Linked DNA regions of Coturnix japonica. The protein of the gene in region 1 purifies or fractionates together with the protein of each later gene. This does not show direct contact. Links are inferred from orthologs where the notes say so. Each region holds a gene or a part of one and is shown on either strand. Other genes may lie near its edges. The genes, in order: GSK3B, PPP1CB, PRUNE1, AXIN2, EPB41L3 and PRKAR1A.

What was found.
Region 2: the proteins of GSK3B (region 1) and PPP1CB purify together in Homo sapiens (affinity purification with mass spectrometry; 3 studies listed by BioGRID and IntAct, with this or other methods). This does not show direct contact. The link is inferred for Coturnix japonica from reciprocal best matches to the Homo sapiens genes GSK3B and PPP1CB.
Region 3: the proteins of GSK3B (region 1) and PRUNE1 purify together in Homo sapiens (affinity purification with mass spectrometry; 5 studies listed by BioGRID and IntAct, with this or other methods). This does not show direct contact. The link is inferred for Coturnix japonica from reciprocal best matches to the Homo sapiens genes GSK3B and PRUNE1.
Region 4: the proteins of GSK3B (region 1) and AXIN2 purify together in Homo sapiens (affinity purification with mass spectrometry; 9 studies listed by BioGRID and IntAct, with this or other methods). This does not show direct contact. The link is inferred for Coturnix japonica from reciprocal best matches to the Homo sapiens genes GSK3B and AXIN2.
Region 5: the proteins of GSK3B (region 1) and EPB41L3 purify together in Homo sapiens (affinity purification with mass spectrometry; 4 studies listed by BioGRID and IntAct, with this or other methods). This does not show direct contact. The link is inferred for Coturnix japonica from reciprocal best matches to the Homo sapiens genes GSK3B and EPB41L3.
Region 6: the proteins of GSK3B (region 1) and PRKAR1A purify together in Homo sapiens (affinity purification with mass spectrometry; 3 studies listed by BioGRID and IntAct, with this or other methods). This does not show direct contact. The link is inferred for Coturnix japonica from reciprocal best matches to the Homo sapiens genes GSK3B and PRKAR1A.

What each region holds. Positions count from the first base shown.
Region 1 is NC_029516.1:71,650,269-71,655,608, reverse strand, and holds the start of GSK3B (glycogen synthase kinase-3 beta), read right to left. Parts: upstream 3,489-5,340; 5' UTR 3,264-3,488; coding exon 3,176-3,263; intron 1-3,175. UniProt on the Homo sapiens protein: Constitutively active protein kinase that acts as a negative regulator in the hormonal control of glucose homeostasis, Wnt signaling and regulation of transcription factors and microtubules, by phosphorylating and inactivating glycogen synthase (GYS1 or GYS2), EIF2B, CTNNB1/beta-catenin, APC, AXIN1, DPYSL2/CRMP2, JUN, NFATC1/NFATC, MAPT/TAU and MACF1.
Region 2 is NC_029518.1:24,311,691-24,316,368, reverse strand, and holds part of PPP1CB (serine/threonine-protein phosphatase PP1-beta catalytic subunit), read left to right. Parts: intron 1-1,192; coding exon 1,193-1,324; intron 1,325-3,823; coding exon 3,824-4,054; intron 4,055-4,402; coding exon 4,403-4,507; intron 4,508-4,678. UniProt on the Homo sapiens protein: Protein phosphatase that associates with over 200 regulatory proteins to form highly specific holoenzymes which dephosphorylate hundreds of biological targets.
Region 3 is NC_029540.1:2,201,705-2,207,018, reverse strand, and holds the start of PRUNE1 (exopolyphosphatase PRUNE1), read right to left. Parts: upstream 3,126-5,314; 5' UTR 3,057-3,125; coding exon 3,018-3,056; intron 2,022-3,017; coding exon 1,917-2,021; intron 1,840-1,916; coding exon 1,634-1,839; intron 1,429-1,633; coding exon 1,244-1,428; intron 1,168-1,243; coding exon 1,009-1,167; intron 926-1,008; coding exon 831-925; intron 747-830; coding exon 588-746; intron 485-587; coding exon 161-484; 3' UTR 1-160. UniProt on the Homo sapiens protein: Phosphodiesterase (PDE) that has higher activity toward cAMP than cGMP, as substrate. Plays a role in cell proliferation, migration and differentiation, and acts as a negative regulator of NME1. Plays a role in the regulation of neurogenesis.
Region 4 is NC_029533.1:6,607,710-6,612,387, forward strand, and holds part of AXIN2 (axin-2), read right to left. Parts: intron 1,342-4,678; coding exon 1,201-1,341; intron 1-1,200. UniProt on the Homo sapiens protein: Inhibitor of the Wnt signaling pathway. Down-regulates beta-catenin. Probably facilitate the phosphorylation of beta-catenin and APC by GSK3B.
Region 5 is NC_029517.1:90,376,712-90,381,389, reverse strand, and holds part of EPB41L3 (band 4.1-like protein 3), read right to left. Parts: intron 3,954-4,678; coding exon 3,249-3,953; intron 2,732-3,248; coding exon 2,609-2,731; intron 2,075-2,608; coding exon 1,697-2,074; intron 915-1,696; coding exon 783-914; intron 371-782; coding exon 272-370; intron 1-271. UniProt on the Homo sapiens protein: Tumor suppressor that inhibits cell proliferation and promotes apoptosis. Modulates the activity of protein arginine N-methyltransferases, including PRMT3 and PRMT5.
Region 6 is NC_029533.1:6,398,023-6,402,700, forward strand, and holds part of PRKAR1A (cAMP-dependent protein kinase type I-alpha regulatory subunit), read right to left. Parts: intron 1,131-4,678; coding exon 957-1,130; intron 337-956; coding exon 245-336; intron 1-244. UniProt on the Homo sapiens protein: Regulatory subunit of the cAMP-dependent protein kinases involved in cAMP signaling in cells.

The DNA.
Region 1 (5,340 bases):
TCAATTCCATAGTCATTAGATGGAAATTTGCTAACTAAACTTCAGGACTTCTATTTTTATAGGTATTTTGGATCACGTGTTGCATGCCTACCCTTGGTTACTCAGTATGATTTTTGCCCCATTTGGGAAACAACATCCATCTGGAGGCAATGCAAGAACACTGAGGTGAAGAACAAAAGCAAAGCTTTAAGCTCATACCTCTTCTCTTATGCTATAATCAGCAGGTAGATAGCATCAGCATGTGGAGAACTGCAAGCTTCTGATTTACATATTCATCACCTGATTTTGAAGCTGATTTCTTGCACTATTAGACGTTAAGATAACAGCTAAGCTCTCACAACCACCATCTTTGCCATACCACGCACTTCCTACGGGCTCAACCTAAGAACACACGTTTCTTTGTGCGAAGAAAACCTACAAAGCCAGCAACGAAGACCTGAACAGAGAATAAACTACCTGGGAATGACTTCAGCACAGAAATTCATATGGTGCGGTGGAAAGAAACACAAAATGATCTCAAAAACACCAAAATAACAAAAAAATTGGCAGATCTCATAGGAACTCTTGATGTTGGTACATCATGGAAGTGATACAGGAAGGCCACAGGGTTCCTACTCTTGTAGCAACTGTAAAATTCTCATAACTAACAACTATGACAGAGGCCTGGGAAGTCACCTTCCTCCGAAGCCAGAGGACAAGACCCTGATGGGAATCCCCTTCCATTCAAGGCTCAAGCTTCTCAACAACTTCCGAGCACAAAGTCTAAAAAGATGGAAAAGTCAATGGCCACTCCCCCCTTTCACAGAATCACAGAATGAGCCGGGTTGGAAGGGACCTCAAGGATCATGTAGTTCCAACCCCCCTGCCTGGCAGGGCCACCAAACATACACCTTTACTAGATCAGGTTGCCCAGGGCCCCGTCCAACCTGGCCTTGAACACCTCCAAGGACGGGGCATCCACAACCTCACTGGGCAGCCTGTTCCAGGGCCTAAGCCTGCCATATCCTGAGCAGAAGAGCAATCACCACACTCCAGCTCTCTAACACAAGGTCCAACACACCCTCCTCCATTCCTTCCTCAATGCTTCCACCTCGTCCTTTGAATCCTTTCAAAGGAATGGAACTACTGCCGGGATCAGCTAGAAGGTGGTCACCAAAGCAAGCGTGACCTCACCACCTCATTTCACCACCACCCCAGCCTTACAAAGGCGAGCAAAAAGGCTGGCATAGAGGATAGGCTTTGCTTCCTGGTGACCTGGAGAAGGTCTGAATCAAGATGGGGATACAACAGCTGCCTACAGGACTCAAAGAGCAGCAATCCATCCATTTCCATCTGCTTCACAATCTCAAGAGAACCAGTAAAATATCACCCTTTCTGGCAATCAGTGGCGCTGCTCTCTTACAAAGGAAAATAAGAAGTCGAAACTTCCTGCACTGTCTTACACGGATAGATTAAGTGAAAAATACGCCTGCCTTTCCCACACAGTCCTTGCATGCGGTTCTCTTGCTTTGTTCTGACATTTTTTTCCAGACAGCAGAAGGACCAGGAGCACATGACTAGAGCGACTGGGGAGGAGGGGCTGGGGGGGGGGGTTATCACAAGTGCGTGTGCTTTATGCTACGGCCTTTGTTTCTCCCTCCGTGTTCCACACTTGGGATCAAATCGTATTTGCAAACTTGTTAGTCTGCATCACTTAGCACCCGCTTCGAAGGCGAGCATCTGTCTGGTTTCTGACCTCAAACAAACAGGAAAGGAGCATCAATGACCTTTCAAGAATCGAGCCGTACAGCTCGAATAAGGCAAATTTAGCTTTGGAGCGTGGCAGGGCTAAGTGTGGCTATAGCGTTAAACAGCCACCTGCAGAAATACCCAGCGACAAAACCTGCTTCCTATTCCACGCTCACGTGAAATAAATCGATACATTAAAATGGAGTCTTAAATATTCCCCCTTCCCCCCTCCCCCCCCGTGTGAATTAAGATCTTTAATACATTTGAACCAGATCAAACACAACCCGTTTTAGCAGCATATAAGAGTATAAAGGGCACTCGGAGTGCAGCAGGCACCCTGATCATGCAGATACAAAGCAGCAGCTCCAGAACCTCAGCCCAATATTCTCCTCAAGGCTTCAACCGCAGCGGAAGTACATTTTGATGCAGAAAAACGTCAGAATTTCTCTCATCTGTCAAAAAACCCCCAGCCGGGCAGAGCCCCGGCTTGAAAAGCCTCCAACACCAAGAACCAAACCCGCACACAGCAGTGCCAGGTGTGACCACACGGGATATCAAACGGATCAATCAAACCTTAACGCCCATCAAGCGCTCCAGGTCCCATAAAGACCCAGCCCTCCATTTCCATAGGGGAAAAAAAAAAGGGGGGAATATTACTGAAAACAAAGCCCGTAGCATGAATCGGCAATGATCTGACTGTTAATAGGCACGTATTCAAAGAAACCTTCAGGAATTATTTGCCATTCAAGAGATATAGTTCATTGTAGGTGACCCGCAGCTGGGCCTTTCTCTGGTCGTACCGAGAAGCAATGCCCATTCTCCATTCATATAGTGTGGCCGAGCCCACCAGCTGCAATGCAAAGGGTGGGCACCCATCAAGCACCGATCATTTCCAGCATGCCCGTGTGGAATAAAGCACAGGCCTCGTTCTTCAAAATATCCCCGTTGAGAAAACCTGGGCAAGGCAGCTCGAAACAACCACTCGCAAGCCACAATGAGGATTTTCTTCCTCCCTCCCGTTGGGGATCATTAGCAGCGTATGATACACCCTTTGTAACCCCCTCGGACGGCCTTTGTAATAGCCCCCCGTTTTCTTCCGCCTTTAATAGGCCGGGCCGTGGGCTTCCCACACCTGATACAGAGCTCCCCCCCCACCTCTTCCATCTCCCTCCTTCAGAGGGCACAAAACACCTCATTGGGACCAATGTCACGGCCGTACCCGCGTGCCCGTCATTCATCCCCTCCTCCCCGAGGCAGGAGGCAGAACAGGGGTGCTGGTAACCCCGAGGAGCCCCCCGCGGAGGCGAAACGGCACGGCCGGCAGGGGCCGAGGGCAGGGCCGGGAGCGGCCTTTTTGTGTCCCCCGCAGGCCCGGCCGAGCTCGCGGCCCACCCGAGACGAACGCGAGGCAGGGCAGGAGGGCGGCAGGGAACGGCCCGATACTCACGGCTGACTTTCATGCTGCCGAAGGCCGAGGGCTGCTGCACCGGCTTGCAGCTCTCCGCGAAGGAGGTGGTCCTGGGCCGCCCGGACATGGTCTCCGGCTCCGGCTGCGTCCCGTCGGGCTGTCCGCCTCCTCCGCTCTCCTCGGGGCTGCTCGCGGGGCTGTGTGCTGCGGGCTCAGCGGGAGGCGAAGGGCGAGCTGTGCCACATGAACCGCCGGCCCCTTCCCCCCCGGGGAAGCCCCCTCCCCTCTCGCTCTCCCCGCCGGCCTTTCCTCGCGTCTCCTTTCTTCTCCGGCCTCGCTCCTCCCGGCGCTCACAGCGCCATCCTCCCGCAGTGCCGGTGGGTCCGAGAGCCGCCTCCTCCCAGCCGCAGCCCCCCGGGCCGGCCGCGAGCAGCGGGGCTGTGCTCGGTGCTAGGCCTCGCTGCCCCCACCCTCAGCCCAGTCACATGGGGCGGAGGCTCGCGGCCCGGCTCCTCCGATCCTGCCGCTCGGCTTCTCTCTTCTCCTTTTCCCCTTTATGTCTTTTGCCTTTTTTCTTTTTTTTTCTCTCTCTCTTTTCTTTTTCTCCTCGCCTCCTTCCTCTCTCTGCCTCCTGCCCTCTCCTCTCCTTCCCCCTTCGCCACTGAGGGAGGGAGGCGGCGGGACTACTTTTCCCCCGGCGGAGGGATCTCGGAGCTGCTGGATCCGCCGACGGGAGGCGATGCGGCCCCGCGCAACGGGATCCGGCGGCGGCGGCGGGATCCGCGGCGGGCGGAGCGGTGTGAAGCGGCGCGGTGTGCCCGGCTGGCTCGCAGTGTGTGTGTGTGTGTGCTCTCAGTGCGGCGCTGAGGCGGCTCCGGCGCGGCTCCTCATTGCTCCCGCAGGGGCAGCTGGCGGCGGCTCACGCTGGGCAGGCTGCAGTGCGGGCGGTGGCCGGCGGCGGCGGTGCGGGCCATGGCGGCGGCGTTGGCTCCCAGCTCGTCCTCAGCCGGCTTCAGAGCGCCGGCGGCTCTCGCTGTTGCTTCCCCGGGCGTCCGAGGCGCATGAGGAGCCGTCCGCCCGGCTGAAGCTTCCCGCCGCTCCCTTCTGGCGCCGGCTGCCTCTCGCCGGGCCCCCCTCCCCGTTTCTGTTGGTCGCTCCCTTTGTCCCCGCTGCTGCCTCCGCTGCGTGCCGGGCTCCCGCTGCTGCGCTCTGTGTGTGCGCCAAAGCCGCGCAGCCGCCTATGCCCGTCGCCGCCCTACGCTGCGGAACGGCCCTAGGCGCCTTCTGTGAATAGCCACCCGAAGCGCCCGACGCACTCGTTAGCCCCCAGCCCGAGGCCCTGACGGAAATACCCGAGCGTCGTCGGGACCAATCCCGAGGCGGTTACGGAAATGCCTGTGACGGATCGGAACCAATCGCGAAGCCCTTACGGACGCACCCGAATCCCCCCGAAGCCAGGCGGAGGCCCAATCGGAAGGCGCCGCCACCGCCCTAGCAGCGCAGTCGGGCGGCCAATAGGAAGAAAGCCTCTCTTCCGGCTATTACCGAGCCAACCCGAAGGGAGCCGAAGCCAGACAGCCAATCGCAGGGCGCGCTGTCTCGATTACGCTCCGCCGATTGGTTCACGGCGATGAGGCGGCACGAAGACGGCAGCCAGCTGCGAGCTCTCGGCCAATCGCCATGCAGGGCCGGCAGCACGGCCCGCTCCCATTGGAGCATGGCAGCGGCGGGCGCCGCCCCTTTCACCTTCATGACCTCACCCGCTGCGCAGGGCGGGGATGCGGACAGAGTGCGCATGCGCGGGGCGTTATCGCCGCCGCCCTTGTGTGGGGGTTACAGGCTCTTCAGAGGGGCTGGGAATGGCGGGGGTGAAACACAGTGTATATCAGAGCCACTAAAATGGCCTCATAGCCGTGCCTTGGTGCCACCACACGAGGGTTTTGGTTGGAGCTGGCCAGCACGACCTCTGGAGGAGCCTGTCCTACCTCAGGACCTGTGGACTTCCACAGGGCAGGAGCTGGAGTGCTGTGACCCCACTAACATCGCTGTAGAGCTGAGCTTAAAATTGGGGCTTTTTTAGTCTTGAGCACCAATGCAAATTTCTTATTTACTGATGAAATTACTGATGGACACCAACCCTGTCCATCCACACTACAGGTATCCCAGTAGTTCTACTTCCCTTATAGGCACTCCTGCCCATATTT
Region 2 (4,678 bases), on another chromosome or scaffold:
CAGGGCAGAGCGTTCTGATCTTAACTCTTTGGACTTCAGTACTATGTGTCTTAGGATGGGTTGTTTCCCCTTATATCCTTTCTCCCCCACGTAGATGGCAGTGATCTACTCTGCAAAGTATGTTGGCTGAGAGCTGAGCTGCAATAAAAAGATGTATTCATTTTGCTCTTCTGTTAGCAAGTTTTATAAGACTTACTGAAACTGCAGCAAATATTTTTTGAGTCAAGTCTTACTGTGTTAAAGTTTGAAAACATGATTTGGTCTGCTAAAGGTTCATACCACTTTTTTTATAGCTGCTACTGTGGTTTAAAGCTGAGTGTTGCTCCATGCGAAGCAGGGGGGCAGAACATGATGGTAGCCTGGTATAGACACTGCTGTGTTCTGCTCTATTAGTTGCATCTGATTGTTAGTTTATACTGACATGTAGAACTGAATCACATCAGCCAGAATGTAGACATTTGTTCTGCCGCATGTACACATTAGAGCCTGAGAGAGGAATCAGGTAGGTATTCATGGAAAGAAGCAGCAGCAGATAGGCTTGGCAGAGGATGTTAGTCAGAGTGCGGTGGGGATGTTTTTGGAAACTTCAGGACTAAGTATGGATTGGAATACTTGGCTTGTGGATATAGGAATTCAATGTCAAGCTAATTGAATGTCTGTTTGGTTGCTGAGGTTCCCATAACTCGAGATCCATTATGTATGAATGAAGATTTTAATCAGCACAGACACAGTTTAATGTGATGTTCCTGATAGGACAGTTTCAGCTGCAAAAAGTACAAACGTTCCTTTTTATTATGCTTGCCTTGTTGAACTTAGTTGGCCTAGATCATTTTGCGTCAATGTATTTGAGATTTCCATTCTCAAGGCTTTTTTTGCCTGCTGCAAATACTCTAGCATAATCTGATAATTCATTTAAACACTTTTTGAAGTTGCTATTATCCAAATACAGACAAAAGCAAGATCTAAATTGCTGCTTTCTGGGACTGTGACTTAACCGGGATGCATTCGGAGCTTAAGCGCAGGTTGCCAGTATATCAGAGTTTAACTTTAGAACTGGCTGGAATATGCAGTTCCCACATTTAGTAGATAAGTTGGTGTGTCAGATACAGACTTCAAACACAGCTCATCTGCACTTAACTGTTGTTAGGTGTCTGTGTGCCAGCTATCTTAATTGTTAAACTTCTCATTACAGTACGAGGATGTCGTCCTGGGAAGATTGTTCAGATGACAGAAGCAGAAGTTCGGGGCTTGTGCATAAAATCACGAGAAATATTTCTTAGCCAGCCTATTCTCCTGGAACTAGAGGCACCGCTGAAAATTTGTGGTATGTAAACTTAATGTGTGTGTCTGTTATGTAGGTGTGTTGATTTAGTTGTATGCTAACTGGAATGAGAAGGAAAGTTGATGAAGGAGATGCTGAGATACACAGATGACCTTGATTTGAGCAATACAGATTAGTGATTGAGGTCTTCTCAACCTTAAACATCATTTTCAACTTAGATTGGAGTCAATCTAAGTTAGTCAAGAGAAAGGAACTAATGTTTGCTCTTGGTGCTATTTAGGAGCAAGTGCTGATGGCAGTAAGAGCTGCATGCACTTCTCTTCTAGTGCAAATTTTGCAGCCTGTCTGTTGTCCTAAGGGCTTCCTCCACAGAGCTGCTACTGTTTGGATCATTATCTCAAAGCATTCTAAAAACACCTAAGTAGTAAATGGTTGCTGTTGTTGTTCCTTTCATAGCAGAAACTGAAGAAAGATCTTCATATAAGATGAGATGGAGTACTTACTAGTCCACTTACTAGTGGAGCAATTGTAGTCATTGCCATTCACTTAGAATATTAGCAGTTATTAGTGTTATGTTTGTTCTTAAATGGCAAAGTCACTTTTAAGTGAGTAATGGCTTGCTTGAGTATGGAGGAGTGGAGGAACAGGACCAGCTTGCCTGACAGCATAAATTTGAAGGTAAAAATCTAGCTTTACTTCATTTTATTTTTTCTGTGATGAGAAAAAGAATAGTGTCATCTAATTCCTAGACAGAATAAAATTGAAAGACTTGCATACACTCTTAAGTTCAATCTGCAAAGTATAATGAGACTCCTTCAAACAAAGTTAGTTTCTCACTTGTTTAAATCTAAAGAGCTCAGAAGGCTCTTAGATATACAGTAGTCGAGATAGCAAATGCACAGTTATGTAAGAGATTTGTTATTTTTAAGTTACATGTTTAACAAAGCGGTAGCACCTGGAAGTGACATGTAGATCTAAATTAAACATTAGAGAAATTGTCAAAGTTGTATTTGTTTAGAAGTGGAAGAGAGGTGATGGCTTTCACTGAGAGCACAATATGCTGCTGTACTGCTTTGAACTACTGGTTTAATGTGTTCAGGTGGTGCTTGAGAAATTGTTATAGAACTGTCTTGTAATCAGTTCAAAATAAGCTTTTAAGTCTTGAATGGCTGTTCTAACATAAGATGGAAGATTTTCTTATGTAAACGTCCATTTTAAAATAGCTGTAGTTCTTTCTCTGATAGGCTTCAACTTGTGCCTGTATGAAGTTGTATTTTAAATTATCAGGTGCCTGCAAAGGAATAATTTGAAATGCTTTGGTCACTTCACAATAGTTTCTACAGAATGGTCTTTCATTCTTCTATGTCCATTAATCCCTTTAGCTTGTGTGTGTAACTTAAAGTAGTTTCAGACAATGAACATTAAATATTTCCATGGTATATTTATTTTGGTGATGAGTACTTCTGATGGTGATGAAGTTTGAGTACTAATTCAATAGTTCTGGAGTACTGGATTCAACACCATGGTGACATGTTGATGAAACTTGCATGTTTTTCTGTCTTAACCTGGAGATTTCTAAATACCAAGTGGAGTAGAAACTCTTCTTGTAGTGTACGCACAAATGATTTTAGCTGGTAGAACTTCAGAGGGCCTGCAGTTGGGTAGTGAATAATGTTCATTATTAAATGGAAAGTGGTGTGCAAGTCCCCTCCTTGAGCAAGAAATAGTTGAAAGCATTGTCTGCTGAAAGAAAATAGTGTTGATTTTTCTCATGGAAAGATAAAGAGGAATAAGGCATGAAGTCACTGCTGGAGTATGTGACTCCACACAAGATGTGCAAGTCTTTTTGTTTGGTTTAAGGTTCTGAAACAAGTTGTAGGCATGTGGGTGGGGACATTTTGTTTGTCAGTTTTGCTCTTTATAGCCAAGGAAGCTAGTTCTCTACTGGAGAATTACTAGGCTTAATAAAGACAGGTATTTTGCCACAGAACAAACAGCACAGTTGAAAATGTATTCATGACATGCTTAGTGTAAGGGATCAAGAAGTAGTCTGTATTATCAGCATACAGCTTTTACTAAGGGTTTCTTAGGCATAGTTTTGCATTTAGTCACTTTGTTAATGAATTCTGCAGTCAACTGAAGTATATCACAGCTACTGTACAAGTTACGGTAGAGCTTTGGTATCACTTTTGACCTTATGGGCAGCTCAAGGGTAATTACTTCAGCCTAGTCTGATGTGATGTGCTGTGGTGGTTTAGTTGCTGCACAGAGCTATTGTGTGGATGTGGATGGAAGCCATCTTAGTTTTAAAACTGGCAGTGTGATGAGTAACATGATCATTACTGCTCCTAAGACTTCTGCAGTTTTGAGTAGCATGTCAGGGCTATCAGTCTTTCAGTCTCTGTACTGTTTACAATAAATGCATCCAGGGAGTTGTCCTAAATGCCAGAGAATGGGAAGCTTAGTACAGTGATTTAAGCTCTTGATATGTTTACTCCTTACATTGTTGCACTCATCCGTGGTAATCCTTTTTTTATTCAGGTGATATTCATGGTCAGTATACAGATTTGCTTCGACTATTTGAATACGGAGGATTCCCACCAGAAGCAAATTATCTTTTCCTTGGAGATTATGTAGACAGAGGCAAACAGTCTCTGGAAACCATTTGCCTACTTCTGGCATATAAAATAAAGTACCCAGAAAACTTCTTTCTCTTAAGAGGAAATCATGAGTGTGCTAGCATCAACCGGATCTATGGATTCTATGATGAATGTAAGTTAAACCTATTTCTTCTGAAAGGCTGATGTGTATTAATACTGTGTTTTGGAAGTACTTCTGGTAAATGACTCACGATTCATGTGCTATAAGAATTTCAGTGTTCTGTGAACCTGCTTTGAAACCTTCTCAAAGAGCCTATCAAAAGAAGGTTAAACTTAGAATTATTTTCTATTCTGTTGTTTCTGAAATGGTATTGTAGGAGTCTCTGAGTGTACTCAGGTTTCAGAAATAAAGCTGTGTGAAGACAGTCAGTTTACATCCCCAATCAAGTTGTAATACATGTTGTAGGTTGGCTTTAAGAAAATAGTCATCTTTTCCTAATCTCTCACACTGCTCTTGTAGGTAAGCGGAGGTTTAACATTAAGCTCTGGAAGACCTTCACAGACTGCTTTAACTGTTTGCCAATTGCAGCCATTGTGGATGAGAAGATCTTCTGCTGTCATGGAGGTAAATGGATGACTACTTTTAAAGGATGTGTCTAAGCTGTTCTTTGGATTATTGTTGTATTGAATTGCGAGGATGTGCATGTTCAGCTCACAATGTATATTGTCTGCAAAGGTTGTTGTTGTCTTGCTTTTTTCAGTACATCTGGCTGCTAAGAAATATTTTGCTTCCCAG
Region 3 (5,314 bases), on another chromosome or scaffold:
ACAGCACCAACCCCAGTGGGAAGGGGGGGGGGAGGGGTGCTTTGGGAGCACTGGCAGTGAGGAGGGGGCTGCAGCAGCCAGCCAGGCTCAGACAGAGGAAGCTGCAGCTCCATGCTGGGGATGTGACCCCCACAGCACCCTGAGCACCACCAGGGACCCCTCACTTAGAGTCAGGGGGGTGCTGCTCTGTGGCCATGCGGCTGACCCGCTCCAGCACAGCCTGGGGGCAGACAGGGGGCACGGCTTGTGCCAGCGGGCTCTCTTCCACCAGGCTGTTCATGGGGGTGGGCGGAGGGGCCGCCTCCTCCTCCTGCCCTGCTGCAGTGCCCGGCCCTCCCCCCAGAGCAGCCCTGAGGATGGGCAGCACTTTCTTCCTGGAGGCCAGCGAGTTACCCTGTGCATAGGCACTAATGCAAGGCCAGGGGCTGGGCAGGGCCTGCAGCTGCAACGCTGGGGCTGTGGCCTCCTCCAGTGCACAGCACACCTGGAGGGGGCAAAGGGTGGTGTCTGCAGTGCAGCTCTGACACCCCCAGCCCTGAAGTGGGGGGACAGAGCACCCTGCTCTGTACACCCTTGTGTTGGCTCACCATGTTCCGCAGGGCCCCGTTCTGGCTGTACACCGCCAGCTGCCGCGTGGGCTCATAGCACTCATTAAAGGAAACCGTCATGGCCACCAGCACGGAGTAACCACGAGCCTGGCAGAACGTTTCCAGGTCCTGCAGCAAACCGGGACGGCGCAGGAAGAGCTGGAGGAGGAGGAGGAGGAGGACAGGCCTTGGAGTCACACATCACACTGTGCTGGGCCTCAGCCTCCCCTTGCTGAGCCTCACCTCTATGTCCATGTAGATGCCGCTGATGGCAAGGACTTGTTCATCCCCAGAGACTGTTTTGAGGTCCTTCCGCAGCATCTGCTCCGTTGTCAGCCCTGGGAAGGCAGAGGGGCTGAATGTGAGCACTGCCCCGCGTCCCAGCACCCTGCACAGCGCTGCTGAGCCCCCAAAGCCAGACCTGAGACATCAAACTTGGCTGCCTGCAGTGCTTTGTAGATGCTGTCGTGGGGCGGCAGCTCCGGGAAGCGCGACTCAAGCAGGGAGACGCAGAGCACATCGCGAGGGGTCACCTTGCCAGCAGCAGGGCTCAGGTTAATGCTGTCCAGCAGGATGGTGCCTGCAGGGACCGGGGCTGTCGGCACATGGGAGCAGAGCCCCACACCAGGGCAGCAAAGCCTAAGAGGCAGCCTCACCATGCAGCAGTGCAGCCGTGGTCCGGTCCAGCACGCCCGGGGGCCCCTGTGCAATCCGTTCCGTCACCAATGTGGCACAGGAACCCACCAGCTCCACCGTGAGCTGGCAGCTGGGCGCCCACTCCCGCTCCAGTGGCCGGTGATCCAGCACATCCACCACGGCTTCCTCCAGGGCTGCGTCGGTGCTGGCGGGTGAGATGAGGACAGTGAGAGCCCTGGCACAGCCCTGCCATGCACCACCGTCAGCACAGCCCCCTCTGCTCATCTGCCTTAAAAACACCCCAAGAAGGGCAAAGCTTTTATCCATCCTGGGCTGAAATCCGACCTCTTCGCTCACAACAGGGAGAAGGAAAGCAGTGCATCGCAGCCACATCCCATCATGGCGCTCACCTAGGCAGGACGTGGTGATCCACCAGAGTCAGGGAGAGCAGCCCAGCCCCGTGCAGCCCAAGCAGGTCGATCTCATCGCGGAAGATGAGCGAGGAGTCGGGGATGTTGTGCTCCCGCAGCAGGAACGTTGTCTCCGTGCGCAGGGCAAAGTCAGAGCGTGGGATGTTCAGCACTGGGATGAAGGCGGCTTTGGGTGGCACAGAGGTCTGTGGGGGGGGGGATCAGCACCCAGTGAGGCATCCCCTGAGCCCCCCATCACCCAGCAGCATACAGGCAGCCTCACCTTTGCTAGGAAATAAGCCAAGGCCAGGGCAGACACGGTGGAGTCCAGGTCACAGGCCTCGTTGCCCATCACCACATGCACCTCCTGATGCTGCTGGATGTGTTCCTGCCAAAGAGAGAGACGTCAGCCCCATTGGGACACATCTACCCCCTAAAAGCCCCCCTGAAGGACACAGCTCTGTGCAAACGGAGCCATTTGTGGCCTCAGCACCCCCACAAGCAGCTCCCAGCGATGGTCTCATCAAATGAGGAACACAAACAGGGCTGTTCTGTGTCTCAAAAGCCTCACGTTAACAGCACATGTGTGAGAAAGCCAAGCAGGTCACACAGCATTGCAGCAGGGGGAATTGGGACCCCCCCCCACGCAGGGATGTGGCACCCACGGGAGATGGAGGACCTGCTGTGGATCCTTATGAGCTGAACCTCAGACCAGAGTGATTTTTCTGGCTGTGATGAAAGGCAGACGGGACTTTCAATACCGACACTGTCATTGTGGGGCCAAAATGCCCCTTTCAGCCCAGGCAGCAGCAGGGACACCACTGTCCCCCCACAGATCCCAGCTCCCTCCCTTTGGCACTCGATGCTCTGCAGGCTTTTCTCCAGTGACAGACACTTCACAGCATAACCCAGATTCTCTTATTTATTCCACTGAAAAAGTAAACAGCCGTGGGCCAAGCCCAGAGCCTGCGCCATTCAGGTACTGCAGGTCCCCCCAACCAATAGTCCCAAAGGAGAGGACATGGGGGGGGTCCCAGCCACCTGTGGGGTGCGGGAACGCCACAGTGTGGGTGCAGGGCACAGTGTCACCTCCAGCCATGGGGTGGGTGGGTGGGGGGGCACACGGGCTCTCCTGGAGAGGTAATGGGGGCTCATACTCCTCCAACCCCCCCGGTCCATGTGCTGCTCGTCTCCCTACACCCCCTTTCCTCCCCACACATCGCTGTGGGACGTTCCCATCCCGTCCCTCTTTCCCCACTCGCGGTATCGCCGCGGTGTTCCCGTGCCCCCCAACCCCTCACTTATCCCCTTCTACCCGCTGTCCTGTATCCCCCCCCTCCACGTCTCCCAACCCCGCAGCCGCCGGCTCCGCTCCCGGCCGTACCTGCAGGGCCGCCCTCCGCCCCTCCAAGAACCGCTCCATGACGGCGGCGACCACCGCCCGGCCCAGACCGAGACCGCCACCCCGCGCCACGGCCCGGTCCGGCCCTGAAGGCGGAGCGTGGGCTCCGCGCAGGCTGCCGGGAGAGGCGGGGCGGCCCCGGGGCGGGGGGACACCCGGAGCTCCTCAGGCCCGGTCCGGGGTCGCTTAGGCCCAGGCCCGAGGCGTAGGCCGCTCGCGTAGGCCCGGCCCGCAGGCGTAGGCCGGGCCCGTAGGCCGCAGGCGCTACTCGTAGGCCGCAGGCCGCTCCCTGCCGGCCTTCCCCCGCCCTAAGGTGAAGCGGCGGCTGGGGGAAGTCGGCTCGTGGCCGGGCTCCGCCATGCGGTTGTTTATTTGTCTCTTTCTCCTCCCCCCGCCCTTCCTTCTCCGCCCTAAGTCCGCCCTCCCGGCGTAGGCCTGGCGGCATGCGGGCCGCGCCTCCGCGCTGAGGGGAAGGAGGGGGTAAAAAGGGGGAAAAAGGCCGAATAACGGCGGTGGCGGCAGCGAGGTGAGGGGAAAGGAGGACCGGGGGGACCGGGGGGGTGGTTGTAAAGCGGGCAGTGTCTGTTTGCTGGGTGGGGGCCGGGCAGGTGCCGGGGGGTTACATGACGAATGTAATATATCGGTGGAGCGATTAATAACAGCGGGATAATTAGAGCCGATGGGATGGTTCATGTTGGAGGGGAGCTGCGGGGGGGTCGTTCGGTCCTGACTTCTTCAGCACTAAACTCCGAACTCAGTGAATGTGGAGGTATCACCCCCCCACCTCCAAACCCCCCCCCGCCCATAAAGGGAACGTTTTGCTGTTCGGGGCCCTGTGCTAAAGATCTGGATGCAGATTGTGCTGGTTGCACTGCTGGATTTTGGGGGAAAGGTGAGTGCTGTGCTTCCAACCTGCAGCCATCTCCTGTGGGAGGCGTCGTGAGGCTCCTCGCCTCCTGTTGTCCACGCTTGGAGATCCCGACCTCCATGCAGGCTGTGCCTGTGGTGGGCAGGAAGAGCTCATGGCATGGAGCAGAGCTGCTGGATGTGCCCCTTCCCCACTCTGGGGCAGCAGCTGGTAAATGTCGGGTGCTGCTCCGTGCAGGAAATCCTAAAGGATTTAGAAATCCTGAAGGATTTCCTGCTTGAAAGCTGGCCCAACCAGTGGGTCCGGTCTGGAGCTTCCTGCTGGCACCTGTTTGCAGCAGCCTTCCCCCTGCAGAGCTGCTTTGGAAGCAATGGAACCACGGCTGGGTGAGGCGGCGTGCAGCACTGCAGGCGTTCAGACCTGTTTGTCCTGCTGCTGCCATGGGATGCTGCCCTCAGCTTCCTGCAGTGCATTCCCAGCCAGGTCTGCATTGTGGGGTCACTGGCGGGGGGTGTCCGGGTATTGCATTTCCCAGCAGGGGTATATTCCTCTGCAGCACACATTTACTTTCCTCACCTCCCCGCTGTGCACTGCAGGATGCTCTGATGGTGTTTGTGTGCACAAAGGTGTGGGGCAGCAGCACAGGGATGACTTCATGGCCTCCATCCAGCAGAGCACTTCAGCACATGCTTCTCTTTGAGCACTGCACTCCTCTGAGACCACTCTGCTGCTGTTTGGGGTGTGTTTAAGTGCTTCCCTGGATCCAGGCCTGAATTCCTCTTTGGGATGAGCACATTAACAGGGCTGGTTGTCTGCTTCCTACCTCTGAAACACCATAGCAGAACGCTGGGCTGCAGTTCCCATCCCAGCAGTGGGAAGTGCAGCTCTGGGCTTTAAACCTGCGCAGCTCGTGAGCTAGTTTTAATGAGCTCTGGCGCAGCTCTCGCGGCTGTTGTTAACTCTTGTCATGCAGTTCTCTTGGCTTTATTAACCTGTGGCAGCTCTGAGCTTCAACCTGTGCAGCTCTGAGGCTTCAAACCTGTGCAGCTCTGAGCTTCAAACCTGTGCAGCTCTGAGCTTTAAACCTGTGCAGCTCTGAGCTTTAAACCTGTGCAGCTCTGAGCTTTAAACCTGTGCAGCTCTGAGCTTTAAACCTGTGCAGCTCTGAGCTTTAACCTGTCAGCTCTGAGCTTTAAACCTGTGCAGCTCTGAGCTCTCAGCTTGCTTTTGGGCACTGTGAAGCTGCACTCCTTGGGCTCAGGTCCCCCTCCCTTGTAGGGGGGCAAAGGGGATGGTCTTGTTATAAAGCTGCCAGGTCTCGATGTGTTTATTGCCATAACACCCAAAGAAGGGCAGGATCTGACCGCACTGCTTCAGTCCAAACACAACCAAGCCACCCTCTTCCCTCAGA
Region 4 (4,678 bases), on another chromosome or scaffold:
TCCTAGCCCTGTGAATCCCAAGTGACCCTACACTGGTCCAGAAATGACTAACCCAATGAATGCTCTGTTGACACATGATCACATACAACCAGAGCCAGTAAGAAGAAATAAAGAAGTCACCCTATGATTCAGCTCTTTTATTTAATGCCAATATTGTTCAATAAGGGAATCTGGTGGGACAACAAACTATTTTTTTTCCCGTAATATCAGTTCAAAACACACTTGTGCACTAAGAAAACAACAACAACAACGACGAAAAAAAGCTAAATAAAAAGCTTTTGTTTACACATCAAGGATTTTTGGTAAATCCTGTTTTCCATTGCGCATCATCACGCAGCGCTGTCGATTAAAAATACAACCAGCATGCAAAGCTCTTTAAGGAGCACACGGGATTCAATGCCACATCCCATAGGCACAGGGGGAAGGTTCAGTCCTGGGATGCAGACCTGGAACACAGCACTGTTATCTGACAGGCTGCGTTTCGGGAGGACTTGTACTAAAGTGAAGATCAAGGAACACAAACAGAAACGTCTGCCTTCTCCCCAGTTGAAGAAAGGGGTCCCTAAGAACACTATGCGAGTCCTACTGACTTCCCCACCTCCAGACACAAAAACACCATTCCTCCTCTGCTGGGGAAGGAAAACTGTGGGAGAACACTGAAACTGCACACCAAGGAGGAGAAAAACAGATCCTGCCACAAAACCATCCCTTCCCTCTGCTCCCAACACACTCAGACCTGATCCAAGCAGCTCCGTTCAAAAGGTTCTTTGAAGGCTGCCCCAGCCACACCAGCTGAGCAGCTATTTGCCCCTTCAGGTCACTGGCCCTATTAATGTACATACTGACATTACCGATGAACCTTAATTACAGAAAGTGCTTCCTACAGGAAGTAATCTCCTCCTCTTTGATGACTGATAACTAGTTAAGGAAGCCTGGCCTTAAGACAAAAGGCACAGGGAGATTGCTCCTTGGGTTAGTCAGGCAGTACTATAAGCATAGGGGAAAACACGTTAGCTCAGCTACAGAGGGGTTCATCACCTCCTTCCATCCGATACCTACGGCAACGGCACAAAGAACGAGGCCACCAGGCCTGGCTGCCCTCTGGGTGTGGCTGGACCCACAATTACCTACAGTGCATCAGTACAGCCCATTTAGAGATGGTGCACCCCAAAAAAGACCAGGCCAGCATAAGATACTTACACGCTGCTGTCTGTCATTGACATGGAGTCATCCGTCAGGGCATCACTGGATATTTCACTATCGTTTGCGCTGGTTGCTGGGGCAAAGACATAGCCAGAACTCACATGGTAGGGGTTAACAGGATCATTCCTCTTGAAGGACCTAGAGACAGGCAAATAAGAACCCAGTTATCAGCCAGGCTTGGGCTGGAGGACAGCACGTGAGCTTAACACCAGCACTCTCCATATGGCACCCCTTGAGAAGCACCAAGCACCCATTGCTCACAACAGCTCCCTGCCAGGAGCAAGGGAACAACCAGCATATGCTATTCAAAAGCACCCACAGCCCAGTGTTAAAGATGTGGCTATTGGCACAGGATACACAGCTCAGAAAACCCCAGGAGATGTCCCAGGGCATTTTGATACCTTTGGAACCTTGGTCCTAAGAGCCTGGTGCTGTGCTGCCAAAGCCAGCAGGAGCTCTGCCATCAACAAGCACTAGATCAAGAAGTTCATAGCTTGAGCCCTACTGAGGACAAGCTCATAAATGCTTAAACCTACTCTGAACACAGGAGGTAAGGCTCCTTTGGGAGAAGTTATGCTATCTGTGTATTGGAAACAAGAGAACTGCTAAACAGGACCCCCACGCATCACGGCTGCAACCTGCTACCCTAGGGCCCCCCCCAAAGAGAGGTGCCATCTTCCTGGCACCACAAAGGCCCATTTTTAGGGTGAACCTCCTCACCAAACAGCACGGGATTTCTTGTGCTTAGGGCTGGATGAGGTAGGAGGGAGGCATGAGGTCGGTATGAGGGCAGAAGCAGCTGCAGGTTGCACATGGAAAGCAACAGCTTCAACCAAAGAAGGAAACCCTGAGCTTGGCCAGGATGGCTGAGCCCATCACCACCAACCCATCCGTGGGCAATGCCGGGAGCTACGATGGGGTCACTGAGCAGGAAACCTCCAACTCAGCTGGGATCAATCCCCTATCTTGGCAGGCGATAAGGGGATTATGCAGGGAGGTTTGAAAGCTGCGTGTTAAGGTGCACATTTTGTTCCCCTGAGATGGAAGATGGGGTTGTTAAGCTTCTGCGTTTGTATATCAAAGCAAAGGGCCTTGTCATCTGATAAGGACTGCTGATTTTAATAATTAGGGCCACTTACCCAGGACTTGGGGGCCTAAGGAATGTGCCAGCAGGCTCGGCAGGTTTTTTAATGGGCTTTCAAGCTCCCCACCCCCACGGCAGGGCTCTGGGGGAAGTGGTGGGATGCAACAGAGCGGCCCTAATAGGGGGCAGCAGCTGCCCCACTGCTGTGCACCCCTCCCTTGCAGCATGGGGGGAAACGGGGGCTTTTACAGAGCTTGGGTTAAAAACAAAGCAGGAAAAAAAGAAGTTAAAATAAAAAAGGAAATGAAAAAAAGAAGAAAGAAGAGGGAAAAAAAAAGGAGGGGGAGAAGCTGGGCCTCTCTGGTATGAGGTGCAGGGCTGGGGCTGCTGCAGGTACTCAGCCCAGCCAGGGCTGCATTCCTTTCCAAGGGAGGCCAAGGCACCACTGATGGGGAGATCAAGATGTTAGAAAACATATAGCTGCAAAAAAAAAAAAAATGAGATAGCGAGGAATGCCACAGGAAAGAAGTTAAATCTTCAAAGATAAATTAATTCCACATGTGGGTGAAAGCAAAGTTATCCCACTACTACTACAAAGGAGTTTGCTAAACGCATGCAGCCTCCTGCTCTGATTCAGAGGGATGTGAAGTCCCTGTGACACTGCGTGGGTCCTTGGTGGGCTTCCAGGGGATTGAGCAAGGGATGCAGCTCTTTCCTAACAGTGATTTGAAACCATCGCAGGTCTTGAGAGCGCACACAAGGACCACAGGGCTCAGCAGGGCGGGCTGCTCCAGGGTCCTGGATTGGGATGGGATGCTCCTTAAGTAACATGGAATGGGATGCACTAGGGTCCAGCACAGCCCTCCCCAGCTGCCCCAGGAGGGCCACATTCCTGTGCTCTCCCTGCTGGGGGGCGGAGGCAGCAGTTGTGTATGAACACAGCGCAGGGTGAGGAGGTGTGTCCAAACAGCATTCGGAAAGATATAATTAGAGAAAGTGGCCAGAACTCACTCCTCTTCCCCCCATCAGTGTCAGCCTGCAGCGCTGCTTCCCCTACCAAAACCTCACTGATGAAAAGCCCCCAAGGAGCTTCAAGGAGAACATCTGATGTTTCTCAGGCTATTCATATCTGGATGCAATGACACACAGTGTGCAGCTCTCCCTGTGCCACGTTAGGCCACGGGTGTATCAGAGTTCAGGGCCATCATGATTGCAGGAGCTCCCGGTTGCATCCCCTACTATCAGAGGGCTATTTCAATGTGGGGTTTTTTTTATTGCCAAACTCTGCTTCTTCAAAATAAGAAGTGTTCCGGCACTTCAAACCACAGATGTATATACAGAGAGCAAAGAAAATCTGCCAGGAGCATTTTGAAGGCAGAACTGAGGCTCATTAAGTGCTTTCTTGGGACAAACATCATGGGGCGCTCACAAGTTTCAAGGCAAAAAGAGAAGCGGCACAAACACGGGGGTGGAAAAAAAATACGCTTTTTTAGAAGGAAATAGAAAAATATTAAGAAAACTATGTTAATCACGGCCTCCATGCTCTAATTGTAAAGCACCGCTCCGAGCGCAGCTTTACAATGGCATCATTTACTTTGATAATTGAAGCCAAACTCAGTTCCAATAACTCCGCACACAACAGCTCCACCGGCGCGGCGTTCAAAGGGCAGGAAGCCTCGGAGCCAGCACTGCCAATGAGTGCAGGGCTAATGGGAGGCAGATGAACCCACCCTGCACCCAACAACACTTCAGTGGCACTGCCAAGGCAGGAGAGCAGCTCCATATAAGAAGGGTGTATAAATAATGGCTGGGATTACTGGATGGTGGGGCCAGGTCCAGCACGCTCAGCAGGACTGATGCTGGGGATGAAGGCTCAGCCACACACTGCATGCCATGGCCATGACTCTGTGCCTTGGGATTGATTTCCAGCTGCCTCCTGTCCCTAAATCCTGGATCAGGTGCACTCAGCCCCACACTTCATTCTGCTCTTATAGTCCCATTGAAGCAAGTGGGAAGAGCCCGCACAGCACTTCCAAACCGTAGCATGCTGGATACAGGGCAGGGATTCTTTGATTCCATTGCACGTATGAGGAGGGAGGTGTGGTTTGGCCACTCACCAGGAAAGACTTTGTGGGAGCTTCAGCTCCAATCCTGAGCGCCTTCCTAAATGCTGAGTGATGAGAGATAACCCATCCACATGTTCTTAAAACACACACACACACGTGGCTCTGCAAATGGGCAGCTCAGGGAGGGACCAAGCAGCATCACAGTTTGACCTCCATCCCTTTGCACTGAGATCTCTTGGCCCCATAGTGAGCAAAAGCTCCTGGAAATTCAACAGGAGGTGATCAAAGCACAGCACAACATCCTAGGAAGGCAAATCTGACACAT
Region 5 (4,678 bases), on another chromosome or scaffold:
AAGTCCTTCTCCACAGGGCTGCTCTCAAGGAGATCTTCCCCCAGTTTGTATAAATACCTAGGATTCCCCGATCCAAGTGCAGCACTGTGCACTTGACCTTAATCAAGCTAGTATACCCAAAGACAGGTGAAAGCCAAAACAGACAGGATTTTGTTTGAGCTTATAAGCATGTGACTCTGCTTTAAAACAACAGAAGCTAAGAAAACACATTTTTCCTTCAGAAAAAAAAAAAAAAAAAAAAAAAAAAGCTTTCCATTTCCAGAGGACTCACTTTGGTGATATGTGTAGTGGTTGTAGTGCTGGTGGTTTCAGACGTGATAGTTTGTGCACTCATCAGCACACCAGGCTCTGAGTCAGCACCACTATCCACCTAGAGAACCAAAAAACAATAATCAAAAGTATACCCTTAAGCAAAGGAAGTCAAGAACTGAGCTTCTCTATTTTTGCTGTTCTTCATAGAGAGTTATTTAACAACAGGGAAATAACAGCTGTTAGGGTGATTATGCATCTTTATTTCTCTCTGCATTACGACTTCTCTTCTGGAAGGACAGATGAGAAACTGGGGCTTTGAAACCTATAGTTTTATCAGCATTCTCTAAAGGCCCTACATCAGGACACACCAGTCACCTTCAGGTACAATACACTTTTGCACATACTCTCCGTGCTAGTATTGAGTTCCCAAACAACAGTTCATACTAAGGAATACACCAAAACATGGATGAAGAGAGATGGGATTTTCAAGGCCATGCTAATTAGACATTGGCTTCTGTAGGATTTCTTACCTGTGAAGACTCATATGTAATGGTTTTTGTTTCTGTATGGACTACTGGCACTTCCTTTGTTGAAATTTCAAGGTTTTCCCCCCCAGTAGAAACACTACTGAAACTGATTGTTTCAGTCTTCACAACTGGTGACTGTGTGAACAAAAACAAACAAACAAAAAAAAAGGGATTGGAAAATTTAGTAAAGTTTCTGGATTTTTAATAAAAAAGTGCTCTGCATTTTAAGAAACAAAAGAGAAAAAAAAATCTCTTTGTTGTAATGGTATGTATATAGCACTAGCAGTTCGACACTACTCTGGATTACATGAGAACGAGCTTCAGGAAACATGTAAACATTACACATGTTCTCAGAATGACAAGAGAACAAATCCTATTCAGGCTTGCTTTTCCATTCAGCTTTCAGAAAAAAAAAAAAAAAGAAAAAAAGAGCAAAACAAGGTATCTCTACCCTTCTGCAAAATGTTTCTTGAAATCTTTCTAATGGGGCTAAAACAAGAAGCACAGATTGCTTCAGACAGACTACAATAATGTATGACTGTATCAAGAATGGAAAAAAAAAAAAAAATTTCTTTCTTTGAGGACATGCAAACTTTGCCAATCCTGATGGATTTTCCCAAAGAGAATGCCAGCTGAGTCCTTGTTGCCCACTGCATAAAAAGCCAGCAAATGAGGCATTTCTCTGCAGCATGAAAAGCGCTTTTAGGTAAAATATGCATGGCATTTAGCCAAGGATGGAAACCAGCAACAAGCTTTGCAGGTGCCATGCAAGGAGGAAATAAGAGGAGAAACAAACTGCCTGCTGTAAAAATGCAATCATAGAAGTCTTGTACTCTTTACTTTCCATGAGAGGAATTGACTTAGTCCACTACCACATACATTTACAACTCAGCACAAGAACTGATTTAACGAGTTACCTCAAAATGAGGTTTTCTTTCCAAAGAGTCTGAAACGTGGACTGTTGTACTGTGCTCCTCCGCTTGCTCATGAGAAGTAGCAGCAGCAATGCCTTCCTGTTTGGTTACAGCTTTGTGAGCCTCCCTTTTTTCCTCTTTAGCCCCCTTAGTCACAGCAGTGCCCTCCTTCCCTTTTGCGCTAGCAGATGCTGCCTGAGCCTGGGCATCTGCAAGTCCAGCCACTGTAGCGGGATCCCCACTCGCATGCACATTCATCCCACGTCTCTCCTCGATAACCACAGTCTCCTGTACAACCTTCGTCACTGCGTCCTGGTGTGGCTGAGCTGCTTGCTTCAGTTCACTGGAAGTTATCTCCTGAGATGTTGTCGTGTCTATTCTCTGTTGGGAAAGAAGAAAAAAAAAATCCTCATGTTGAAAGCAGACAATGCTACACAGAGCAGCTCCTCAGCTTAACGTACTGTGAACATAAATAAAAACGGGGTATTACATTTTGCCAATTTATTTCTCTCGCGCTAATGGATTTTCACTCTAAGGACATAATCAGAAAAGTAGAAATGAAAAATAAAACAAGATTATGATTTTAGAAGTGAAGAAAAATGCCAGTGTTTTTATCCTTGGTAGTTTTGTGCGAGTCTTATAAAGGCAAAATACAGCACCCTGTAAAATGACCAAAATAAACTGAAATGAGATTAAAAACAAAAACAAAAACAAAAACCCACAACACTTGTTGTTGTCGTTGTTTTCCCTTTTGGTGAAGTTTCTGTTGTGGTCTGTTGTAACAAAGAACAAGGCACAGCAATGCAATGCGTTAGGCATACAGGCTCTGAATTATGCATAAAAACAGGAAACAAAAGCAAATCAAAAGTCATTATTGTGCAGTTATAACACCGAGGGATGGAATGAAACAGCCACCTGCGCCCAGCTATGGGAAGTAGTAGTAACCCCTCCTATGAACTCAGTCGGCTTCCTGGCGGACTCTATTAAACTGAAGATATCTGAGCCATCCAGGGTTTTTTCACCGGTGGACTGTTTAGTCTAAACAGACAAAGAAATGGAGAGTCATACACAGATGAAAGGCCAACCCACATGCACAGAGAAATTAACTGACAAAACAGGAGGCAGAGACAGAGGAAAGGAAGAGAAGGTTGCAGGGCACAGAGAGGCTGGGAATGGGATAAGGATGGGAAAATAAATTAGAGCAAATTCATACTGGCTGTATTAAGCAATAGTTACAAAGCATAGTTGTTAGCACCGGCGTTTTGCTCGTTCAGGCAAACCTTTTTACCCTTTGGTTAACAAGCAACAGCGGCAACACCACACGTCAGTAACATGGATCTTTAAATGAACCAGAAAAGTTGAAAGCCTTATATAATGCCTGCTTTACACTGTAGTATGGCTTCAAATTATGAGAAAAAAATAAGCTGGGTTGGCTGCTGTCAACATAAAGCCAGGCAGCAGGAGAACTGAAAGGCAGGGTAGTGTGAGGGCATTGCCTAAAAGAAGTCATGCTTTAATCTTTAAACTGTGGCATGAAGTCAAAGCCTCTTGTTACCACTACTTTTGATGCAGACGACTCAGTAACAACATAGTGAGCAGTAGCAATGGTAAATGGTTGTTCTCTGGAGTATCTCCACTCAGACACACTTTTATCTTTCCAGGTAAATGCCCCTGCTTTTGCAGCTTCACCATCAAGGTGTTTTTCTGCTTTGCCAAGCTGCAAGCTTCCCAGTAACTGCAAATCTTGGTCCATCCTTAGTGTCTTTTTCAAGCTCTCCTCTTCGGGACTTTGCAACTGAGATTCCGCTTCCTTTATAGGTGTCAGGGAGTCAGACAGCTTTCTTTTTGTGCTCTGCACATCGGCCTTCTCCTCAGCGACAGGCTCTACGATCCCATACTTGGCCAATACTGGAATGATTTTCAAAGATTCTTGTGCTTCCTTCTCCTTTTTTTGCAAAGCTTCTACAGAAGGCTGTACTGTTTTCTCTCCCTCTTTTGTTTTACTTGTCATGGTAACAATTTTCCCAGACACAGCATCATAGGACTTTCCTAAGGTGAATGTTTTCTGCTTATTCTCATCTTTGGATTGTATTTCACTTTCCAAGTCCTCAAAGCTCAGAACTGTGCTGGATTTTAGTACCTCGGGCGGAATGCCAGCTTTACTGCTCACAGTCACCACTTTGTATGTCACATTTTTTTTCGATTCACCATCAGCTACCTCAGAAGGTACTTTGTCTATAATAACCCAATCCTCAGTGCCCTATATTTGAGATATAAAAGCTAAATTAGAATATCTGAAGGTTTATCTGTGTTTCAGGAGTACTAAAGTATGAAGTCTTTTAAGAAATCAATCCTGTCTCTCTGGAAAGTATATAATAATTTTACCACTGAACTTCTTAGAGTAGTTATCAAACAAATAAACAGCATCACCTCAGGCAGAGTTAGATTTCTTCTAGGTTTCTTCCCATTAGAGGCCCATATAATGTGGACAAATAAATAAATAAATAAATAAATAAATAAATTGCATTTGCCACACTTTTCTGCAGTAATTTGAAGCAGAGTAAAATTATCATCAGAATCATCCTGAGGTTAAAAATCATATATCACCATGGTTCATAATGTTACAGTTGAAAACAAGTTACAGAAATAGGGCAAATAAGCCCAACTGTATCCCAGTTGTAACAGCCACACTTCTGATGAGATTTTAGAACAGTATGCATTTGTATGTAGCTGCAGTCTGCACTGCAGTCTGCTTTTGTTAGAAAACATCAACCCCCTTCAGCACTATTTAAATTTAATAGTACAAGACAGTAAATGCCATCCTACTAAAGATATTGAACTGAAGGCAGTGTCTTTTATTCTTCTTATACAAGTATGCAACATGATTTGCTTTGACTATGCAACTGGCATCCACTTATTTGACCATGAGACTGTAACTTCTGCATTTAACTAAGCAAATGTGGTTATTTAAAATTGAATGAATTA
Region 6 (4,678 bases), on another chromosome or scaffold:
ACCAGATGATCTTTAAAGGTCCCTTCCAATCCCAGCTATTCCGTGATACTGTGCATGCATTCGCACACCTCCAACCTCAACCAACCAACTTTTCCTGTAATCTCTTTACATTTACACTGACTGTTTGTAAACAGGCTGTGCAACTTTGTATTTTACTATACAAATGGAAAGTTAAATGCAACTTGTAACTTTTAACTTAGCATTATACTATACTTTTAAGACTTCGACAAAGATTTATTCCTACCTTCTCTCATTATCATCAAGATGGGCAAACAGCACATTCTTCTCAATAGCTTTTGCCAATGCAGCCATAGTTTTATAATCTTTTGGAATAACCTAGGATTAAAAAAAAAAAAAAATCAGAAAAAGTAACTGACTCAATTTCTAAAGAGAATCTTCTGAACTATCCAGGACTAACAAATGACTCACACTGCTACAAAACTCAAGTATTTTCGGGTTCTTTTAAGCACTGTAGTTCTAAGACACAAATACAGTCAACTTCTACAGCCAGTTTATTCAGAAGGTAAATAAAACATTGAATTTATGCAACTGTAAAAACCACAATTCCATGTTAAGTCCGTAGTGTCTTTTCACAATTGCAAGTATATGTTCAACTAATTTCTCAATGAATAGCAGCAAATCTGCTCCACCTCTGGGTTAAACTTAATACTGCTGCATCCGTTAGAAGTACTCTGTGTGCATGAATTAAAAACACATATATAAATATGTGTTTATATACACACTACATCAACAGGAAAAGATCAAAACTGTAAAAATGGTTTGTCTGCATGGCAACCCAAAGAGCTATACATGCAGGTCTGAATTTCACTGTTATCACACTACCTAACAGGTTACAGGCTTAGTGTTACTTAATATACTGGATATTAAATAGCCTCAAGTAAACTCTGATTCTATGTACAACTCTTGGCAACATTAAAGGACAAAACTTAGAGCACCTTTCTAACATAAGATGCAGCATCCTCCTCTGTATAGACTTCTGCACTGATGGCCCCACGTCTTCTTCGACCCTTGACCACAGGGTTCATAGGAGGAGGAGGAGAGATTTCATCCTCCCGTGAGTCTGAACGTGAACCAGACTTCTGTTGATTTAACAACTGTTTTGTTTCCTCCTAAACAGGAAAGAAGAGATATTTGTGTCACATAATCCAGGAAAGGAAAAAGCAGTTACATATCATATTCCAATTTAGCCTGCCAGCACAAGGGGAGCTTCCTGTGTCCTATTACTCTCACATTAAGGCAAGCAGGAGATTACAGCTCGCATGATCAACTGCCTTACTGAAGTAGACAGAAAATACGCCTTTCCTAATATTCACGCCACAATGGTGTTGATTTTAACAAATTACACTAACAGTTAATTAATTTGAGAAGCACAATTTGACTCTACTTTCCACTAGCATATTCAATAAGCAATGAAAAAAAAAAAACCTGCAAAGGAGAAAGCCATTTTCCCAAGAGTGCATACAGCAGTTCCTCCCCTGAGCTGCAGGGTGTTAAGCCTTTTATTCCTTTGAAGGACAGAAAAACAACTCCTTTGAAATCCCTGTTACATGAGAAGCTTTAGAAACAAGGTGAAGCCACGGACCAACTCGATGCTTGGTAACCATGGGTTATTTTAGAAGAGACATGAACACTGCTTACAGAAAAGATGCTAAGGGCCAAACAGTACCTTCTCTCAAGCCACAGATCTGTCAGCTGTGTACAATGCTAGACATGTTCCTTATTTCCCACAGCTGCTTCCTGGGCTGTGTTGGATTAATACTGGGAAAAGCCAGCACAGTTAGAATAAAGTGAATCCTAACTATATCAAAGCACAGAGATTTGATCCTTTCACATAACAGAAAATTCACCTTACTTAACTAAGATCTGTATTTTAAAAAAAGCCAACCTCACAGTTGAGTCATTTGAGCTATTATGACTCAAATGCTTTTCTCCCTGCCATAAGGAAAGAGGGTTTGGGGACATGTTTTAACAGAACAAGGAGTCATCTGTCTCCTCTGAGGGCTCCAGGCACGTAAAAGCTGGGCTTGTCCCAGTGTCCTTGATAAAGCTGTCCCTCCTGTGGCTTGGCTGCCACAATCCACTCCGGAGGTACACAGAGGTTACGTGTAACTCCACCGCTTTGAGGAAAGGGACCTCAGCTAACCATTACAGTGAGTTTACATTTGATACTTCTCAGATAACCAAAGAGCACTGATCCGTCAAATCACCCTGCGCTTCCTGCTTTGTGTTCATTAACAAAATAGTGCCACATTTCCAACTGCTGGGGCAAGGAATATTTAAAGCCTTGGCACTTATTTAGAAAGCAAACATCAGCTGCTGTGACTTTTCTAGTATCACACAGGATACACAGACCCTGCAAATGCCACAGACGGAAGCACTTCAACAGCACTGAGGGAGGGAGCTGCACATCACAGTGTTGCTCTGGGATAAATCCACCAGCAGCTGCACTGGGAGAGAAAACAGAACTGGTGACTTCTGCCTGCACTGAGACTTAACACTGTTACATTAAAAACAAGCCTGTTATATGTGTATATTACATCACCAGATAGGCCTTGACCAAAAATCATAGCTGCCCCTTTCAGGTACCTTAGAATCCAACCAGAGTGAGGAAACGTATTTGTTCAAGTTTAGAAGCTCTTAAAATTAAAGCAAATATTGAAGAAAAGCACCTATAACCACAACACGGATTCTTATGAGGCATCCAGCCTGGCCTTGAATGCCTGTAGGGATTGGGCATCCACATGACACCAGAAATAGTCGATTTCTTCTGGTTAACTTGTATTTAATTTATATCAGCTTTCCACCACCCTTTTTCTCCCCAAAACAAGTCACTTGAAAGATATTTAAGTACACATTTACGGAGGCAGGCCAGATGATGAGAAATAGGCATAGTACTTAGACCATTATCCCCAGCTTTCTAACTTCTGTTTTGCACAAAGCCCAATACACGTGCAGAAGACCCACCTGGCAGGCTGCAATACCAATCTCTACATTAGGTTTTCACAGCTTCAACTACAGAACGCAGCCAAGCTCAGCACCGGGTAGCAATCAGCTGTCAGTGTGCACTTGTGTTATCAGCCCTGTTTGCACAGCAAAATCAACAGAAGCCGTAGTGCACCGCAAATTGATTGTATAAATGTTATTTTATCTGAGTATAGTGATAAAATTCAAGTGAAAGCTTGCATAGCTGAAAAGGACACGTGAATTCCTATTGTAACTACTTCAGAGGCAGTAATTTGAGTGTTTCTGAGCAATAATTCAACGGTAAGTTTAAACATCTCCAATGTATGTGAGTAACATGACAGTGAATCAGCTCTGTGTGCACTGTGGAAGAGATGACTTGTCAGGAGAGAAAATAGAACCCACACTTCATTTTTAAATGATGTTCCTTCAGAAGTCAGTCTCAACCAAAGCTTAAAAAAAATACTCCGCCTCAACCTCAGTTTCATTCAGTGTAACATTTTAAAAGTAGATGGGAAAGTTGCTCTGCTTTCATAAGGATAAAACAGATGTTACTCTTGGAAAACACATGGTTTCAAACATTTCTGCTGCACTGGAGCTAAGTACCAGGTTAGAGCTGGTTAATAGCAGCAGCGCAGCTCTGTTACTTGATAGCTCTGAAGGTTCAACACACTGCTCAAACTAAGACCAACCCATATGGCTGAACTATGAAATTACCTTGAAGAAAGACATGGCAATGTTTATATTCAATAATATAAGAAGGCTACAGTTCCACCAGCAGCTACAGCCACACGAGTTGGCACATATAGCCATGCTTCTGTTTTATGTCCCTTCGTGGCTTTGCTTACTCTTCGCTTATTCCAAGTTCTACCTCCTAACTTCAAAAGAACAGTTTTCTTTGATAGTTTTTAAAGCAACATTAGCACAAGCATTGATACACCAAACCTTACAATGTATCACTACTAGAAACCCAAGAATACAAGGTGGGAAAGCTGATACAGTAAAAGGTGGGGATGAAGGATTATTAGGAGCCTGAAAAAAGACAAAGATATAGTTTCCACGTAAGATGGGAAGCTAAAGCAGCACCTGCAAATGACTGCTGTACAAGGTCACAGCTACAGTAATTACTAACGACCTGTGCTGAGTGCAGTGGTTACAGCTAATCTTTCTTCTGCATTCACCCTTAAAAACTCATGTTTTCATAGCAGATTATTCTCTATCAGCTTAAGCTATAGTTATATTCAATTAACTGTTCAAATCAGCGTTAAATTGATTCAAATATGAGCACTGAAATGAAAACGCTTTTCATTCCAAAGATCACAAGGTTTTCAACAAGAACACTGAAGAGACCTTCAGGACAAATGAGAGGAACAAAAAGCAAAACAGTAACACTCAGTTCCCAACAGAATGAAGAAACAGGCTTGTTCTCTTAGAAATCAGGAAAATAAGTGCTTTCATTTGATTTCAGCTAGGCCGGGCTAACTACCACACTGGCCTGCTGCTGTTCTATACCTGAATCTTTGCAATCAATTTGCCTCAACAGAAGAAACCAAATGTGTATCACCAGCAGCTACCAGGGTCACACAGCACATTTACCAACTGACCACAGACAGGATCACGTGTCCTATCTATCAGTTTCTATGAGCAAACACTAGACTAGGATCACACGTGAATCCCAGGTGGGTAAGTGTCCTTG